Linked DNA regions of Arabidopsis thaliana. The protein of the gene in region 2 interacts with the protein of the main gene of each other region in a pairwise test. Each region holds a gene or a part of one and is shown on either strand. Other genes may lie near its edges. The genes, in order: AT4G24310 and OLEO2.

What was found.
Region 1: the proteins of OLEO2 (region 2) and AT4G24310 interact in a protein complementation assay, tested with the Arabidopsis thaliana proteins (one large-scale study listed by BioGRID).

What each region holds. Positions count from the first base shown.
Region 1 is NC_003075.7:12,593,872-12,602,229, forward strand, and holds AT4G24310 (transmembrane protein, putative (DUF679)), read left to right. Parts: upstream 1-6,931; 5' UTR 6,932-7,028; coding exon 7,029-7,670; 3' UTR 7,671-7,855; downstream 7,856-8,358. Other genes in the region: AT4G24290 (MAC/Perforin domain-containing protein), read left to right, coding at 985-1,248, 1,431-1,669, 1,919-2,120, 2,285-2,353, 2,441-2,627, 2,938-3,104, 3,252-3,944; AT4G24300 (Peptidase C50, separase), read right to left, coding at 5,109-5,150, 5,780-5,887, 5,975-6,155, 6,236-6,342. UniProt on the Arabidopsis thaliana protein: Involved in membrane remodeling.
Region 2 is NC_003076.8:16,170,030-16,178,914, forward strand, and holds OLEO2 (oleosin 2), read right to left. Parts: upstream 4,755-8,885; 5' UTR 4,712-4,754; coding exon 4,553-4,711; intron 4,034-4,552; coding exon 3,593-4,033; 3' UTR 3,311-3,592; downstream 1-3,310. Other genes in the region: AT5G40405 (Tetratricopeptide repeat (TPR)-like superfamily protein), read left to right, coding at 1-1,124; AT5G40410 (Tetratricopeptide repeat (TPR)-like superfamily protein), read left to right, coding at 1,356-3,182; MYB22 (myb domain protein 22), read right to left, coding at 6,398-6,856, 7,245-7,368, 7,515-7,702.

The DNA.
Region 1 (8,358 bases), on a different chromosome or scaffold from region 2:
GTTGATTGCTTATTTATCTTTTCTAAATTCTGGCCAATAGTTAAAATTGTCACATCGTGTTAGTGAAGAGATCTCTCTTTGAAATGCTCGAAGTTTTGTTTCGAGCAAGAAAAATATTTTTTGTCGTTGTTATGGGTTCTTTGTTTTCTACTAAAATCCCTTCAGACAGAAGAAAAAAACATAAATTAAATCCCAGCGAAGCATATGTAATAATGTAACAACAATAAAATGTAATAAAATAAAAAAGTAACAACAGGCTGTCAAAATGATAAACAAATAACAACGGAGGAAGAGTAAAGTGGGGAAGAAGATCAATGGGCCCACACACAATTCCCAATTCTTTGACCAATAGTTGACTTTTCTTCCTCGAGTCTTTTTAACTCGCTTCACCTGTTACCATCTACCTTCTTACATTATTATTACTTACTCTCTTAATCACTTTTGATTAACAAAACTAATTTACCATTGAGGGTTTTCTTCTTCCTTCTTCTTCATCCTCTTTGCTGCTATGATTGAGCTCCATGGATCTGCAATCATAGTTCTTCGATTTAGGATTCGTTTAGATCGCGGTTTTTGAGCTCGGTTGGTGAAGACATATGCTTGAAAACGTACTTTAAGCTCCAACTTCGTCTATTTACAATATTCCTTTATTACTTTCATATTCTTCTTTCAAAGTCTTTAAGGGTTATTTTGCAGTCTTTCTATTTGACTTTTGCGCTTTTATTGAATTGATTTTATATGGTGACATTTTGGACTTGGTCTTCTGTTCAAGATTCCTAGGTCATCTAGCTTCAGTTTTTGGTCTATATTTAGAAACTATGATTTCGATTGAGATCTTATTGGTCAGATTCACACTTTGTGTCAGCAATTCTCAGAAATATCTAAAGTGGTGACTTTTGATTGTTTTTGTGTGTTGTTGATTCTGGGCTCTAATTCTCTTTCTTTGATTTTGGTCTGGCCAACAGAGAAGTCTTGTACTGAAGCATGGCTCTTCGGCTACCAGCTTCTAAAGCAGCTGAAGTTGCGATTGGATCTATTGGCTGTGGTTATGATCTAGCTATTGATTTACGGTTGAAGTATTGCAAAGGAGGTTCCAAAGATTCTAGATTACTTGACATTAAAGAAGGTGATGATAATTGTGAGATTGTTTTACCTGGTGGAATCTCCATTCCTAATGTTTCCAAGTCTATCAAATGCGATAAAGGGGAGCGTATGCGGTTTAGGTCCGATATTCTTCCTTTCCAACAGGTAACTTTTCGTTGAAAAGTATTGGTTTGTGTTGTTGTAGGTTTTGAGTGGATAAGATCGCCATCTGTTGAAGCCTTTATCTAGTTTCCTTGTACATTGTTCTAGAGAGTAAATTTCCTTCATAGCATTTTGGATGCCTTAGTTATTAACATTTTGTTAACATTTTTCTTATGGTTTGCTAGATGGCAGAGCAGTTCAACCAGGAACTATCTTTGGCTGGGAAAATCCCGTCAGGTCTCTTCAATGCCATGTTTGAATTCTCGAGCTGTTGGCAGAAAGACGCAGCCTACACCAAAAACCTTGCTTTTGATGGGGTTTTCATCTCATTATACTCGGTGGCTTTGGACAAATCTCAAGTGTTACTCCGTGAGCATGTTAAGCAGGCTGTTCCATCAACATGGGACCCTGCTGCATTGGCAAGGTGATGTTCTGTCTTCATAATAGGATTGTATGTATGTAAAGTCTATGGAAAGTTACTTACATCTGCATATTTTTCTGTGAAATTGTTCGATGGTCGTTTCCTTGGCCCAATGTCTTTTCACTGGATGAAATTGTTTTTGTATGACTTAAGAATTACGTCTTACTTGTTGTAGGCGTTGTTTCATTAGTAATATTTCTTCAGTAATTGGAGGGTTTATGACTAACACTTAGTCAAATGTTTCTTTACCAGGTTTATAGATATTTATGGGACGCATATAATTGTTAGTGTTAAGATGGGAGGAAAAGATGTGATTTATGCAAAACAACAACACTCCTCAAAACTTCAGCCTGAGGATCTGCAGAAAAGGTTAAAAGAGGTGGCAGATAAGAGGTTCGTGGAAGCTAGCGTAGTGCATAATACGGGTTCAGAAAGAGTACAAGCAAGTAGTAAGGTCTGTGAAATAGTTATTATTATTTTTGTTTCCCATCATCAAAACTTTCTTGTTTGTGCATGTCATAAATGTTTTGGCTATTTGACATATAGAAGAATTTCTACTAACAATCTAGTGTTTCGACTCTTAAGTCTGTAATTCCTGTCTTTTATTCCTGGTTTCAGGTGGAAACAAAGGAGCAACGCCTGAGATTTGCAGATACCAGTTCTTTGGGCTCTTATGCAAATAAGGAGGTAATTTCTATTGGTACCATAGCTTATCATAAAGACATGTAATCTGTGTGTTAGCTTCTTTTCTCAGGAGTTACATGTTTTTTGTAGGACTATGTCTTCATGTGCAAGAGGCGAGGTGGAAACGATAACAGAAATCTAATGCATAATGAATGGCTGCAAACAGTTCAGATGGAGCCTGATGTTATCTCCATGTCTTTTATTCCAATTACGTCTTTGCTTAATGGAGTTCCAGGAAGTGGATTCTTAAGCCATGCCATAAATCTGTATCTAAGATGTAAGCCTATAAATCATTTGCGCTTTGTGCATTTCTTTCTGGAGTTATTCTTCATACTAGTGGTTTCTTTTACCTTTAGATTAGAAGTTTGATATAGGTAAAATTAGAATAGTATAATCCCAAATCTTGCGTAATCTCCAAGTCCAGCTGGGTAGTTAGGTTGATACATAGGAGCATAACTTGAAAATTATAGTATTTTTATAAGTCGAAGATGATTTTTTCTGCCATCTGTTATATGATCCGCGTAAGATGAACATACTATAAACGAAAAGCCTTGGGTTAACAATCCAACATTAACTGAGATTTGTAGATAAGCCACCAATTGAAGAGCTGCATCAGTTTCTCGAGTTTCAGCTACCAAGGCAGTGGGCACCCGTTTTTAGTGAACTTCCTCTTGGTCCGCAACGAAAGCAACAAAGTTGTGCGTCTCTGCAATTCAGTTTCTTTGGACCTAAGCTATACGTGAATACCACTCCGGTATGGGTTTGTTTCATCCCTGAATATGTAGCTTGCTGATGCAGGTTTATTTGGTCAGTCAAGTCTGATCTCATTAACCCTGTGTGGTTAGATTTTGTTTAAAGTCCTCCAGTCCTGAGATGCTCGTTCTCGTTTGTCTGGTTTCAGGTTGATGTTGGTAAGAGGCCAATCACTGGCATGCGGCTCTACCTAGAGGGTAGAAGAAGCAACCGTTTGGCAATTCATTTGCAACACCTTTCCTCTCTTCCCAAGATATATCAGCTCGAAGACGATCTAAATAGAAGTATCCGGCAAGAGTCTCATGACCGTCGATACTATGAGAAAGTAAACTGGAAGAACTACTCTCACGTCTGCACAGAGCCTGTCGAATCAGATGATGATCTTTCTGTAGTAACAGGTGCGCAGCTTCATGTAGAGAGCCACGGATTCAAGAACGTGCTCTTCTTGCGCCTTTGTTTCTCTAGAGTTGTGGGAGCAACACTGGTAAAGAATTCTGAATGGGATGAAGCGGTAGGCTTTGCTCCAAAATCAGGACTCATCTCAACGCTAATAAGCCATCACTTCACTGCAGCACAAAAACCACCACCACGACCTGCAGACGTGAATATAAATTCGGCTATATATCCTGGTGGACCACCAGTACCCACGCAAGCTCCAAAACTTTTGAAATTTGTGGATACAAGTGAGATGACAAGAGGGCCGCAAGAATCACCCGGGTATTGGGTTGTATCGGGTGCAAGATTATTGGTGGAGAAAGGCAAAATCTCATTGAAGGTGAAGTATTCTCTATTTACTCCAATATTGGGAGATGAAGTGATCGAGGAAGCCTATGAAGGTTAAGAGAAAATGGTGGTGGTGTGGCTCAGAGACAATGAGAGAAAATAGGATGAGTGGTATGTTTATGTCTGTACGTGTACATTCTTAAGGTTTTGTCGTTTGTAATGTTAATGGTGTGGATGTCTAATATGCCACTGTAAAACTTATATACACGAGAAGTTGGGATCGTGGATATCAAATTTATGGGTTTGAATAGTGACATTGACAAGTTTTGGTACAGCAAAAGAAAAATACAACAAGAAGAACTTAGTAAATATATAAATCAGATCAGCAGGTAGATTTAATCAAGTTTTTCTGTTTATAAATTTATCCCTTGAGGAGATTATAATGGAACAAAGTTTTTCTAGTCCTTATGTGGCCAAGCTCACAATTTTCCTCAACCATTTAAAACAAAAAAAAATTCTAATCCCTATTACCAAACACTTTTATTTCCAAGTATTTAAATATTATTTCTGTTTATTTTCTTAACTCAATTGTCAAACACACAAAAGTTTTTTAATATGTAAAGTTACCATATTTAAATATTTCGAATTTTTATAACCAAATATAGATATTTTGAATATATATTATATTAAAATGCATCGTTTTGTTATAATTGAAATAATCACTAAATTATATGACTAACAATTGTATCACTTTTTACTTGGCATTCCATTTATACATAAATTAATAGAAAGATGATTAAATAAATTATTTTTAGCATTTACAACTAATTATAAAAGAGATTATGAAATCTCTATGTTATCTAATTAGAATATTTATCTAAATAAACAAACCATTATATGAATTCATACATTTAAAACAACAAAATACTTTTTTTTGGTAATAATAACAGTTATAGTTAAATTCCAATACTAAGATTTGGCAAGTCTTCAAAATATATTCAAACTCAAAAATTTTATATTGTTTCACTAACTATCCATCTATAGACTATAATGCATACATTAAATATATTAATCTTAACAGAACAAAATTTTCAATTAATTTTGAATATATTATGCACGAGTCGTTACCTAGTACCAAATGAACTATGTGTTATTTTTCAACAAAGAGAAGTTTGTGTATTTTTTGGATAAAAGAGAAGTTTATGTTAAGAAGTTGAATTAAAGAAAACTGATCTCGAAAGCTCCTCCCCAAATAATGATGAGGAATCAAAATGGGCATCACTCAAACAGCTGCATATCGAACTCTGCTTGAAGACTGCTGGTTCTGGTGTAAGACGAGGAGTGGAGGGAGGAGAGACAATTTTTTCCAGTCTTATCACAGTCTAACGATGATGCCAAAAAGAAAGGCTATGCACTTAAGATGCGCCAAGATCCTCCGGAACTAGGAGAACACTACGGTGATATAAAAATAAAGGCGACAGATGGTTATGAAGGCTTATGAGCTGGCATACTTCTCTGATTTTTTTTTATATTGGTTTTAGCACGAGAGTTTGTTAGGGTATATTGGGTAAGCATGAATGTATAACAGTAAGTGAACCTAAAAGCAATAAAAAAAACTCTTGGGATAACATTCAAGATGAAGTAAATTGAGTTTTTTTTGTTAAGATGATAGCATCTACATTCAAAATGTGTTAATACTCCATGAATAATAATACCAAGTTTAATTTTCTGGAGCTCATGTTTTATCTAAAGAGAACGATGCGCATGACATTCACCTAAAAAAACTTTGGACTAAGTCAAGAAGCTTCGACCAATTTGCTTTAGGTTCAACCTGAGAGAGAATAAGCTATGAGAGTTTCAACATAGCAGAGCAGTGAGTGCCACAAGAAACATAATAATGCCCTAGAAACATCTAATGACTGACTAATCTGGACACGAGACTTTTGCACATACCTGGAATTCACCTGCCACAAATTTCAACACAGACATCATAATTTTAAGATTTAGTGATGTTTTTGCCTCCTTGGACGGAAACAGTAAAGAAAGTACCTGGCGGGAGAACTGGATACAAAACAAGACAGTCAAGGCGTACGAGAGAGAGAGACAGAGACAGAGCCACAGAAGGACATGTAAACTTGGGAAAGTCACCTTATAAAAATGACATTTTGGCAACGGGGATACAGAATATTCCTCTAGTGTAGAGATGCAAAAAGAATGCACAAAAGCCTCATCGAAACGCTCTGCTTCTCTAATTACCGAGAGAGCACACTCTCCCATATCTGACAAGACCAGCTTGAGAAACTTATGGTGTTCATTGGCATCCAAATACCTAGAAAAAAAAGAAGAAGAAGAAGTGAAACTTGTTGACTTGTACAGCAAGGGAAGCATAAGTCTCACGGTTTTATTTACCTTAGCCAGGGTTTTAGCCCTTGTAGAAGAGAAATGCCCCTCAAGTATTGGAGATCGTTCATATCCCGCGACATTGCTACAGACCTGACGATGGACGCCACAACCATGAGTTGGACTCTTGCCAGTTTAGCTCCTCCAAATTCGGGATCTGGTAAAAACGGTACACCTTTGGACTCGGGTTCTCTAACTCTAAAACCATCGTCGTAGGCGGGTCCTTTAAGGTGGTCAAGGACTCTAAAACCATCGTTGTAGGCGTGAGTGAACCAACCCCAGGCCTGGTAACAGTGAATCAGCCCGACTCTCTGAAGCTGGACGGCTAGAGGATCGTAGGAGACCAATTCGCAGCATTCCAAACAGAAATCATACGCGCGGAACAAATCCCTAGGGGATCCTTGGGTGAGGCGTTTATGCAGGAAACACACGGATTTGATGATGAAGGGGATGAATTGCTGCGAGATGGATCCAACGGGAGACCTTTTTTAGTGGAATTAGGTTTACTTTTTTAGTTCCCACCAAAGAGTGCGAATCTCTTTAAAGTTAACGTAACATGCAAATCGATTTTAAAGTTTTTTGTTTAAAGTTGGAGACGAGTAAGAACGAGAGTAATATATAATCAACTTTGAAAGTCTCAACTCTCAAGAAGGAATCAAAAGAGACCCATTGACTTCTCAAAAGTCAAAACATTGATCACGTCAACAACCATCTTCTACACTTAATCGCACGTTCTTCTTGGTATATATTATGATCATAATCATCCATTAATTCTCGAAACAAATAAGAAAAACGAAAGAATATGTCTTCACCATCTTCCCTAACGCAGAGAAACCCAACTAGTTCGCAAGAGCAATCGGAGTCTGTTCCACAGCTAAGGAGGCAGACATCTCAACATGCAGTCATGTCACAGACGCTAACCTCAGCTGCAAACCTGGCAAATCTCCTTCCAACCGGAACGCTCTTAGCTTTCACGCTCCTCATACCCGTCTTTACATCCAATGGTTCATGCGATTACCCGACCCAGGTTTTAACCATAGTGCTCCTCACGCTTCTCTCCATCTCCTGCTTCCTTAGCTCCTTCACTGACAGCGTCAAGGCTGAAGACGGTAACGTTTATTACGGTTTTGCTACTCGTAAGGGCATGTGGGTTTTCGACTACCCTGACCCTGACGGTTTGGGTTTACCCAATCTTAGTAAATACCGGATAAGAATTATTGACTGGATCCACGCCGTTTTGTCGGTTCTTGTGTTTGGTGCGGTGGCTCTGAGGGACAAGAACGCCGTGAGTTGTTTTTATCCGGCGCCAGAGCAAGAAACCAAGAAGGTTTTGGACATTGTTCCAATGGGTGTTGGGGTTATCTGTGGCATGTTGTTCTTGGTTTTTCCGGCGAGAAGGCACGGTATTGGATATCCGGTCACCGGAGACGGGGGTCGTCGTTAGATTTGTTATTTATTTCCAAATAGATATAAGCAATTTGATTATTTAATGTTTGGTTGACTAATTCGCTTGTGCATGTGATCATTTCGTGTTTGTCTCATCTACTTCCAATTCTAATAATGATTTTAATTTTGTTCTTTGTTTAGTGGACAATTATTTACGCAAGCAATCTTATTATACGTTCTGCTTGGTCATAAACTAATAATACACTTAGAGGTGTGAAATGCTTAAGATGCCTTGTCTAATTGAGTTAACACACGATATCAATAAACTGAAAGCTATAAAAAAAAAAACTTGGTTAATTGTTTGATCAGGAAGTGGCTGAACTGAGAGGACCATCCAGGTTGGGACCTTTCAAAAGAGCATGTGGACAACACAGTTCTTGTAAGACTCACACTTGTCATGTTGTTTACTCTGACTTTCATCTCTTGCCATGTTTATTTGAGACATACATGCGTCTTCCCAAAGGAAATAAGAAAACCTGTGGAGGTTTATAAATTCCTTTCTCTGCATCCGTTTTACTTACTTGCAAAATGCAGAGACTCTGTAGCCACTAGCTAAACACCGTTGCTAGCTAGGTAATATGCGAGATCTTGAGTTCTGTTTACTCCAATTGCTGGCAGAGTCGGTCAAGGACTCAAACACAAAATCTTGCACAATGATACCATATCAGCAACCAATTCCATACTCG
Region 2 (8,885 bases):
ATGGGGTTGCTATGATTTCTGTTTTATCGGCTTGCACTCAATTGGGTGCTTTAGACCAAGGGAGATGGGCTCATTCTTACATAGAGAGAAACAAAATCAAAATCACTGTGAGGCTTGCTACTACGTTGGTCGACTTGTATGCAAAATGTGGTGACATGGAAAAGGCTATGGAAGTTTTCTGGGGTATGGAAGAGAAGAATGTGTATACATGGAGTAGCGCCCTGAATGGGTTAGCCATGAATGGGTTCGGGGAGAAATGTCTCGAGCTTTTCTCTCTTATGAAACAAGATGGTGTTACTCCAAACGCTGTCACATTCGTCTCTGTTCTCAGAGGTTGTAGTGTGGTTGGTTTTGTAGATGAAGGGCAAAGACATTTTGATTCGATGAGGAATGAGTTCGGGATAGAACCTCAGCTCGAGCACTATGGCTGCTTGGTTGATTTGTATGCTCGTGCAGGCCGCTTAGAAGACGCAGTAAGTATCATCCAGCAAATGCCCATGAAGCCTCATGCTGCTGTTTGGAGTTCTCTGCTCCACGCATCCAGAATGTACAAGAACCTTGAGCTTGGCGTGCTTGCATCTAAAAAAATGCTCGAGCTAGAGACCGCAAATCACGGAGCTTATGTCCTCTTATCAAACATATATGCAGATTCAAACGATTGGGACAATGTTAGTCACGTTAGACAGTCAATGAAATCTAAAGGAGTCAGAAAGCAACCAGGGTGCAGTGTAATGGAGGTCAATGGAGAAGTCCATGAATTCTTTGTAGGAGACAAATCTCACCCAAAGTATACACAAATCGACGCGGTTTGGAAGGATATCTCGAGAAGGCTGAGACTCGCTGGTTATAAGGCGGACACAACCCCGGTTATGTTCGATATAGATGAAGAAGAGAAAGAGGATGCATTGTGTTTGCATAGCGAAAAGGCAGCGATTGCATTTGGTATAATGAGTTTGAAAGAAGATGTTCCGATTCGGATCGTGAAGAACCTTCGGGTTTGTGGAGATTGTCATCAGGTTTCTATGATGATCTCCAAGATTTTTAACAGAGAGATCATTGTCAGAGACAGAAACAGGTTCCACCATTTCAAAGATGGTCACTGTTCTTGTAATGGCTTTTGGTGAGAACCTAGCTATGTAACCATTTTTTAATTTCACCTAGTTAGTGATTTGACGATTTCAGAGGTAAAACATGATTATGATAAGAAATTTAAAATGTGATATTTATTGTTTATCCAATAGTAATTTTTTTTTTGAAGCCAGTAATTAATTGGCGTTAATAGTAAAAATGGTAATTACTAATTGGAGAAGGCTTTTAAGTTTGGTTTGAGGAGAGAAAGATAATAACAATGAGAGATGATCAAAGCAAATGTGTATTCATGTTCAAAGTTCAGATTTTTATATCGTCGGAGATTTTTGAGCCAATCTAGTTTTGTTCATAGTTTAGATGCAAATGTTTCATCACTTATAGCTGCTGTAAAGTCTTGTGTCTCCATTGAACTGTGTCGTTTGCTTCATTGTAAAGTAGTGAAGAGTGTGAGTTACCGCCATGGATTTATTGGGGACCAGCTTGTTGGTTGTTACTTGAGATTGGGTCATGATGTTTGTGCAGAGAAGCTGTTCGATGAAATGCCTGAGAGAGATTTAGTCTCTTGGAACTCTTTAATATCTGGGTATTCAGGGAGAGGTTATTTGGGGAAATGTTTTGAGGTGTTGTCTAGGATGATGATATCTGAGGTGGGTTTTAGACCTAATGAAGTTACGTTTTTGTCGATGATCTCGGCTTGTGTTTACGGGGGAAGTAAGGAAGAAGGACGTTGTATTCATGGGTTGGTGATGAAATTTGGTGTACTTGAGGAAGTTAAAGTTGTGAATGCTTTTATCAATTGGTATGGAAAGACTGGAGATTTGACTTCATCCTGCAAATTGTTTGAGGATTTGAGTATAAAGAATTTGGTTTCTTGGAATACGATGATTGTGATTCACTTGCAGAACGGTTTAGCTGAAAAAGGTCTGGCTTACTTTAACATGAGCAGAAGGGTTGGGCACGAGCCTGATCAAGCCACTTTTCTGGCTGTTCTCCGTAGCTGTGAAGACATGGGTGTAGTGAGATTGGCGCAAGGAATTCATGGGCTAATCATGTTTGGTGGGTTCAGTGGAAACAAGTGTATAACGACAGCGTTATTAGACTTGTATTCGAAACTTGGGAGGTTGGAGGATTCGTCTACGGTTTTTCATGAGATTACTTCTCCAGATAGTATGGCGTGGACTGCAATGCTTGCTGCTTATGCCACTCATGGGTTTGGAAGAGATGCAATCAAGCATTTTGAGCTCATGGTTCACTATGGTATTAGTCCTGATCATGTAACCTTCACTCACTTGTTAAATGCTTGTAGTCATTCTGGTCTTGTAGAAGAAGGGAAGCATTATTTCGAAACAATGTCGAAAAGATACAGGATTGACCCGAGGTTAGATCACTATTCATGTATGGTTGATCTACTGGGTCGATCCGGGCTTCTCCAAGATGCTTATGGATTGATCAAAGAAATGCCAATGGAGCCTAGTTCTGGTGTTTGGGGAGCTTTGCTTGGTGCTTGTAGGGTTTACAAAGATACACAACTCGGAACAAAAGCCGCAGAGAGATTGTTCGAATTAGAGCCTCGTGATGGTAGAAACTATGTAATGCTCTCAAACATCTATTCAGCTTCTGGTCTATGGAAAGATGCTTCAAGAATAAGGAATCTGATGAAACAGAAAGGTCTTGTAAGAGCTTCAGGGTGTAGCTACATTGAACATGGTAACAAAATTCATAAGTTTGTTGTTGGAGATTGGTCTCATCCTGAATCAGAGAAGATACAAAAGAAGCTGAAAGAGATTAGGAAGAAGATGAAGAGTGAAATGGGATATAAATCAAAAACAGAGTTTGTATTACATGATGTTGGTGAAGATGTTAAAGAGGAAATGATCAATCAACATAGTGAGAAGATTGCGATGGCGTTTGGGCTTTTGGTGGTTAGTCCAATGGAGCCAATTATCATAAGGAAGAATCTTAGAATTTGTGGGGATTGTCATGAAACAGCAAAAGCAATATCTTTGATCGAGAAAAGGAGAATCATTATTAGAGATTCTAAGAGGTTTCATCATTTCTTAGACGGATCATGCTCTTGTAGCGATTATTGGTAGTATCTCAATTTCTCATCCTCACAAGTGTCAATTTTACTCTTTCAAGTGTGTGTGTGTATAATATGAAAAAATTGCATACACATATAAACCTCCAATAGAACTGTAAAGTTTTGCACTGTTTCATTTTCTCTATATAGACAAAAAAAAAACTAGAAACCTAAAGAACTGTGAGTATCAAATAGCTAAACATGTCCACCTAATTTAAATGTTCCCATGATTTATCAACTTATCATATTATTACATTCAAATATTACCACAACACTTGCGATCTTTCATGCTTACAAAAACATAAAACACATACACGGTTCAACAAAAAGCCAAACAAAAAAAACACATAACATCATATTGAAAATGCAGAAAAAACGACATAATAGTGAAAACACATATCTACCGTTCATACTGAAAACTCATCATGCAGCCGTCGTCCTCCCCTGAGTCTCATGACCCTTAGTGGTAGTGTCATGTGGCTTAGAAATATCATATTGTTTAACATCTTGGGCCTTGTTCTGCACATGCTGGCCCATTTCTTTGCCCTTTTGTCCTGCGTAGCCAACCGCATCAGCCATTCTCCTCTTAGCATACTCCAATTGCTCAGGCACAGTTCTCCTTGTCCCACGAAGATAGTTCATGACCCATGAGATTGAGCTAAGCCCGGTTAGACCGAACATCCCCGAGGCTAAAAAGCCTGTCATTGCAAGCCCGATAGTTAGAGCCGCTGGGACTATAACCGGGCTGAAGAGGAGAAATAGTGGTAAAGCAACCATTAAGCCGATCACCGAACCAGCTAGAAGTAATCCAGCCAAGGCAAGTAGCGAACCGACGACAGGGACTCCAATCAACAGGGACAATACCTTTTTTTTAAATGATACAAGTTAACAATCGTTAGATTCAAATCAATATATATGCATGCAAATTTAACCAAAAGGTGTATACATATAATTGTAATGGTTGGGACATTTAGACCGACATTGCAAAAAAACATTTCTATTCAATTAACAACCAGAATAAGACTAACCATATTTTGATCGGACACAAAAAAAAAAAAAGCCTAGGAGATCAAAAATTATGTTCGATTAACAATCATAAGCATGAGATCAAGAAAAGGTACAATCACAAAACCATATCAATCTGACCATTTTTGTGATGTTTTGAAGGTCATATTTAACTCGCAATAACAAAAAGAAGATCAAGAAGAAGTTTTATGCATGTAACCATATAAATCGAACAGTGTCAAAATTATTCATAATTTATTTGAACATATATTTCAAGATTCCATGAACATAGACTCCATTGATCCGTAAAGAATCATTTCTTAACTTTGTATGTATAAAGATTAAGAGAATGTATAAATATAAAGACAAAGACATTACTTGGGTACTAGATGGGCCACTTTCAGGCATCATGCTCTTGTAACCGCCACCACCGTAACCACGGTCACCTTCATACTGACCTTGACCTCGGCCGCCTTCATAGGGCGACTGAAATTGAAAGTGTCTATCAGTACGGTCGACACGGTGTGTATCCGCCATTGTAAGCTAATGAGAAATTGTTTTTACCTATTTTCTTTGTAATAAAACTAGAAAAGTTTGGAGAAGGTTTATTTAAAGAAGAAGTTGGAGAGATGAGAAGAGGACACATAAGACGGTGAGATGTTAGAGTAGTAGAGGTGTGGCTTTGCATGATTTCCAAGTTTCAACTTTTTTCTTCTTTTAGTTTTTATTTTATTTTATTTCATTTCATGAGATTTTAAAAGATGTTTTCGCTTTCTCCGCTGACACGAATTTAAAGCAAGACAAAAGAAAACTATCCTATGCATGTATACTTGAGTCCGAAGTCTAAAAGGATCTCCAATACAAATTTGAAAATACATAATTCATCAAAAGAGTTTCATTTTTGGTTATGTGACTAACGAATCCAAAATATGTAATCTAGACAATAGCTTTTGAATTATCCATGTTAAATTATAAAAGAAGATGGGAAATCGAAGATAGGACGATGTAGTTTTGCACCACATTTGGATTTCAAAATTTCGATTTCGAACTTTTAGTATCAAATTAAGAAAATGATTCCGTAAATAAAGTTTTGTGCCAATCCAATCCCCATTACTATATATTAGTTCACAAAGATGATGTAGTCATGTAGAGACATCAACTAAACACTAACGGTGCGGCAGATTCTATTCTAGCATCCAAACTCAGATTCATTTCCTAATCAAAACTTCTTTCAACTCGGAGTATTACAATCACTTTCGTATACCGAAAGGAACGTTCTTATTGCATATCAAAACAATCATCCCTAGCTAGAAGTAGCAATTCGTATTCGTTTGGACTCGGCTCACGGCTAACGTACTATTAACCTTGTATGTGGTTTCACACACATGCTTGATGTAAATCCACTTTTGTTCCGCAGTTGATTCACTATACTTCGGGTTATTAAAAAGACTTGATTTCTAATTTTAAAGATTCCCATGAGTTTTTTTATAAGTTTTAGCCAAAATCGATCGCATAATATTGAAAATCACTTTTAGATATGTCATTTTATATGATATTGTTATAACTTCAACACGCTTAAATGTTAAATACTCTTAAAATAGATTACATGTCAAAATCGTAATCGCATATGTTGTATGTAGTCTATTATCATAATAAAATTAGATCAAATATTTCTAGTGACAATGTAACAAATGAAGAAAAAATAATGAATCATGGTGTTTCCTTAACAAGTCAAAGTCTTGAATTTAAATCACAATGTAATGTTTTTTTTGTCTGTCAATTCACAATTAAAAAAAGAAAATTATAACAAATCATGATTATCTTTTGAATTTTTTGGTGTGTAATACATGGATTTTACAAATTATAGGGTTGGCTTTACAAATTATATTTAGAGAAATTATTGATCCGAAGACCAAATTCTCTTGTACAAAAACATAATTTTGTAGTTCTCTATCAATATAAGTTTAAAGTACACATATAGATAGTAAGCTGGGAAATTGTTGTTGATTAATTAACCATATGAAGAAAATACTATGTCACTCACTTAAAATAGTACACCACTGTAACATAACTTATATAGTTCTTGTATAATAGATAGATAGAGATATACACCAAAACGGTGTAAATTAAAATTTGCTTAATTTAAAAAGAAATAGATAGATAGATATCTCACACGATAGTGAGAAAATATCATATTATCAAAGAAATTTCCTTCACTGGAAATTAATCCCACCAACGCAGCAGCTCTAGATAGTCCTCCAGTGATTCACAAACCTCCAGAGTATAGTTTTCTTTTGGCATCGGAATATAAGGTGATATTGTAGAAGCATCGGTCAATGGTTTGGTGGTCTGCGTTATAGCCTCTGGACTCAAATTCATCTCCCCATATAACATATCTTCAGAGTCATCATGATAATTCTCAATGTTTGTCGGTTCACCATCAGATTCATCATCGTTGTTGATTGTGATACTCCTTATGTAGTTTTCAAGGATGTTATTGCCGACACGGTTGACAGTTCGACCACTTTTATTTTGCACCCGACGCTTTGTGGTATTCCAATGGTTCTTAACATTGTTATAGCTCCTCCCCGGAAGTTGCTCTGAGATCTGGATCCATTTGGCACCAATTACTTTGTGTACTTCAATTAGTATTTGATCTTCTTCTTCACTCCAAGTAGTTTTCTGAAATCACATATACGTAAATCATTCTCTTATTATTGTATGTATATGACACTTTTATTGATGGAAGCAAGATACAAACTATAAAGATGCACGTTTTAATAACCCCTCGTAATAACTATGAGAAAACAAAATTTGCCAATGTATTTTGTATCCATGATGAGATTATTTGTAAGTATCACATGTAACTCCTAAATATAAATTTTTAAAATTGTTGTGATTAAATCGTTAGCCACACTACTATTCAACTATATGAATTTCAATCTATACTCTATACATGTGTGCGTGAACATTGTAAGAACGTAGTTGCTTTCACACACATATAAGCTGTGATGATCATTTATATTAAATTATGAAAATAAGAATATAGGCAGATGAAAGAAAAGAACACCTTAACGTTAGGACGAGCATGGTTATGCCACCTCTCTCTGCATTGTTTTGGTGTTCGTCCTTCAAAATGTTTTGCGACCTTTGTCCATTTTTTGGGTTCAAGTGCCACCATCTCTTTCAATTTTCTATATACATTACAATATATTTTCACATCCTCAAAAAATAAAATAAAAGGCATACAATAAAAAAAAGTTATATGAGAATTCCCAAGGAGGAAATTGAATAATAGTTTTTAAATTTATTTGAGAATAAAAAAAAAATGAAGACTTACATGTCCTCAGATTCTGTCCATCTTTTTTTGGTGATGTCACTTTTCTTCAAATATTTGCTTGTGCTCGCCTCCTTTTTATTCTCATAAGTTTTTTTCATCTTATCATCTTCAAGTTGATTCATGATTTCGTTGGTTGTATTTTTGATACCTTCTAGCACTGGCACATCAAATAATTGAGGTTCACCCATTACCTTATCAAGAGTTGGCTCATAACCCTTATTAGTCAGTTCTTCATTGTGTACAATCTCATTCCCTATAGTGTATTCCTGCAAATCATGAAAATTTTCGAATATACCCTTAGGGTTTGCAAAAATTGGGGGATTATCGATCATATGGATTTTTCCGTTGTTGACTATGTTATTCATAGATTGCTCAAGAGTATCAATATTTGAGTAGGATTTGATACTCATGAATGGGTAGTTTGATGGAATTTCATAGGAGGAAGAGTTGTAAACCAAATGGTTTTGATTAGTATCCAAATTCTGATTTTGAGAATCATAATTTGGGATCAAAGGTATAAGATTTTGGTGGTGCTGATTAGAGATATCAGTCAGATCTGGTGAAAAAGACCATCCAGTACGAGAAGATTGACCTAAATTGTCATTGAAAAAGTTAAGATTATTTTTTGGTATATGCGATGCATCATCATTAACAGGACATCGATGAGCATCGTTTAAGATGAAATTTTCATCGGAGATCAATGAGAATTCCATTTAAACACCAACTTGAATTGAAATGATGATTCTAAAATGGAAAACTGATTAAATCTCGATATGAATCTAAGAAGTACAAAGATCGAGTGCAGAAATCCGTAAAACAAATATTGAAACCCAAAGATGGGCGGAAAGTTATAGAAAATCTTAGAAAGAACGATACTCAGATAAGACGATAAGAAGTGAGTGGTTATAAAAAAGTGTACTTCAAATAATTAAATAAAACAAAAAAGGTAAAAATCTATTTAAAAGGTAACAAATGTATTAATGAATTTTGTAGAAATTGAGTGGCAAAGACTTTGACTTGTCAAATATTTTTACAAGTCATTAATTTTAACAAATCATTGTTTTCACGTTTTATAGATAATAAAAGTGAGTTAAATATAAAACCATGGGCCAAAAAACCAAAAAAGTACACACTATAATTAGTTAGATAATTGGATGTAATTAAAGATAGTACTTTAGATATTGTTCTAATTTTAAGATTTTGAGATGAGGAGTTATACAATATCAACTTGAGGATAAAATAGACATTTATATTCTTAAATTGTAATAAATAATTATGAAATTATAATGATTTATGAGAGCGTTTGTGTTTAAAAGAGAAAATTTGACATATTACAACACGTGTCATACATGTCATGAATTTATTTCTGTT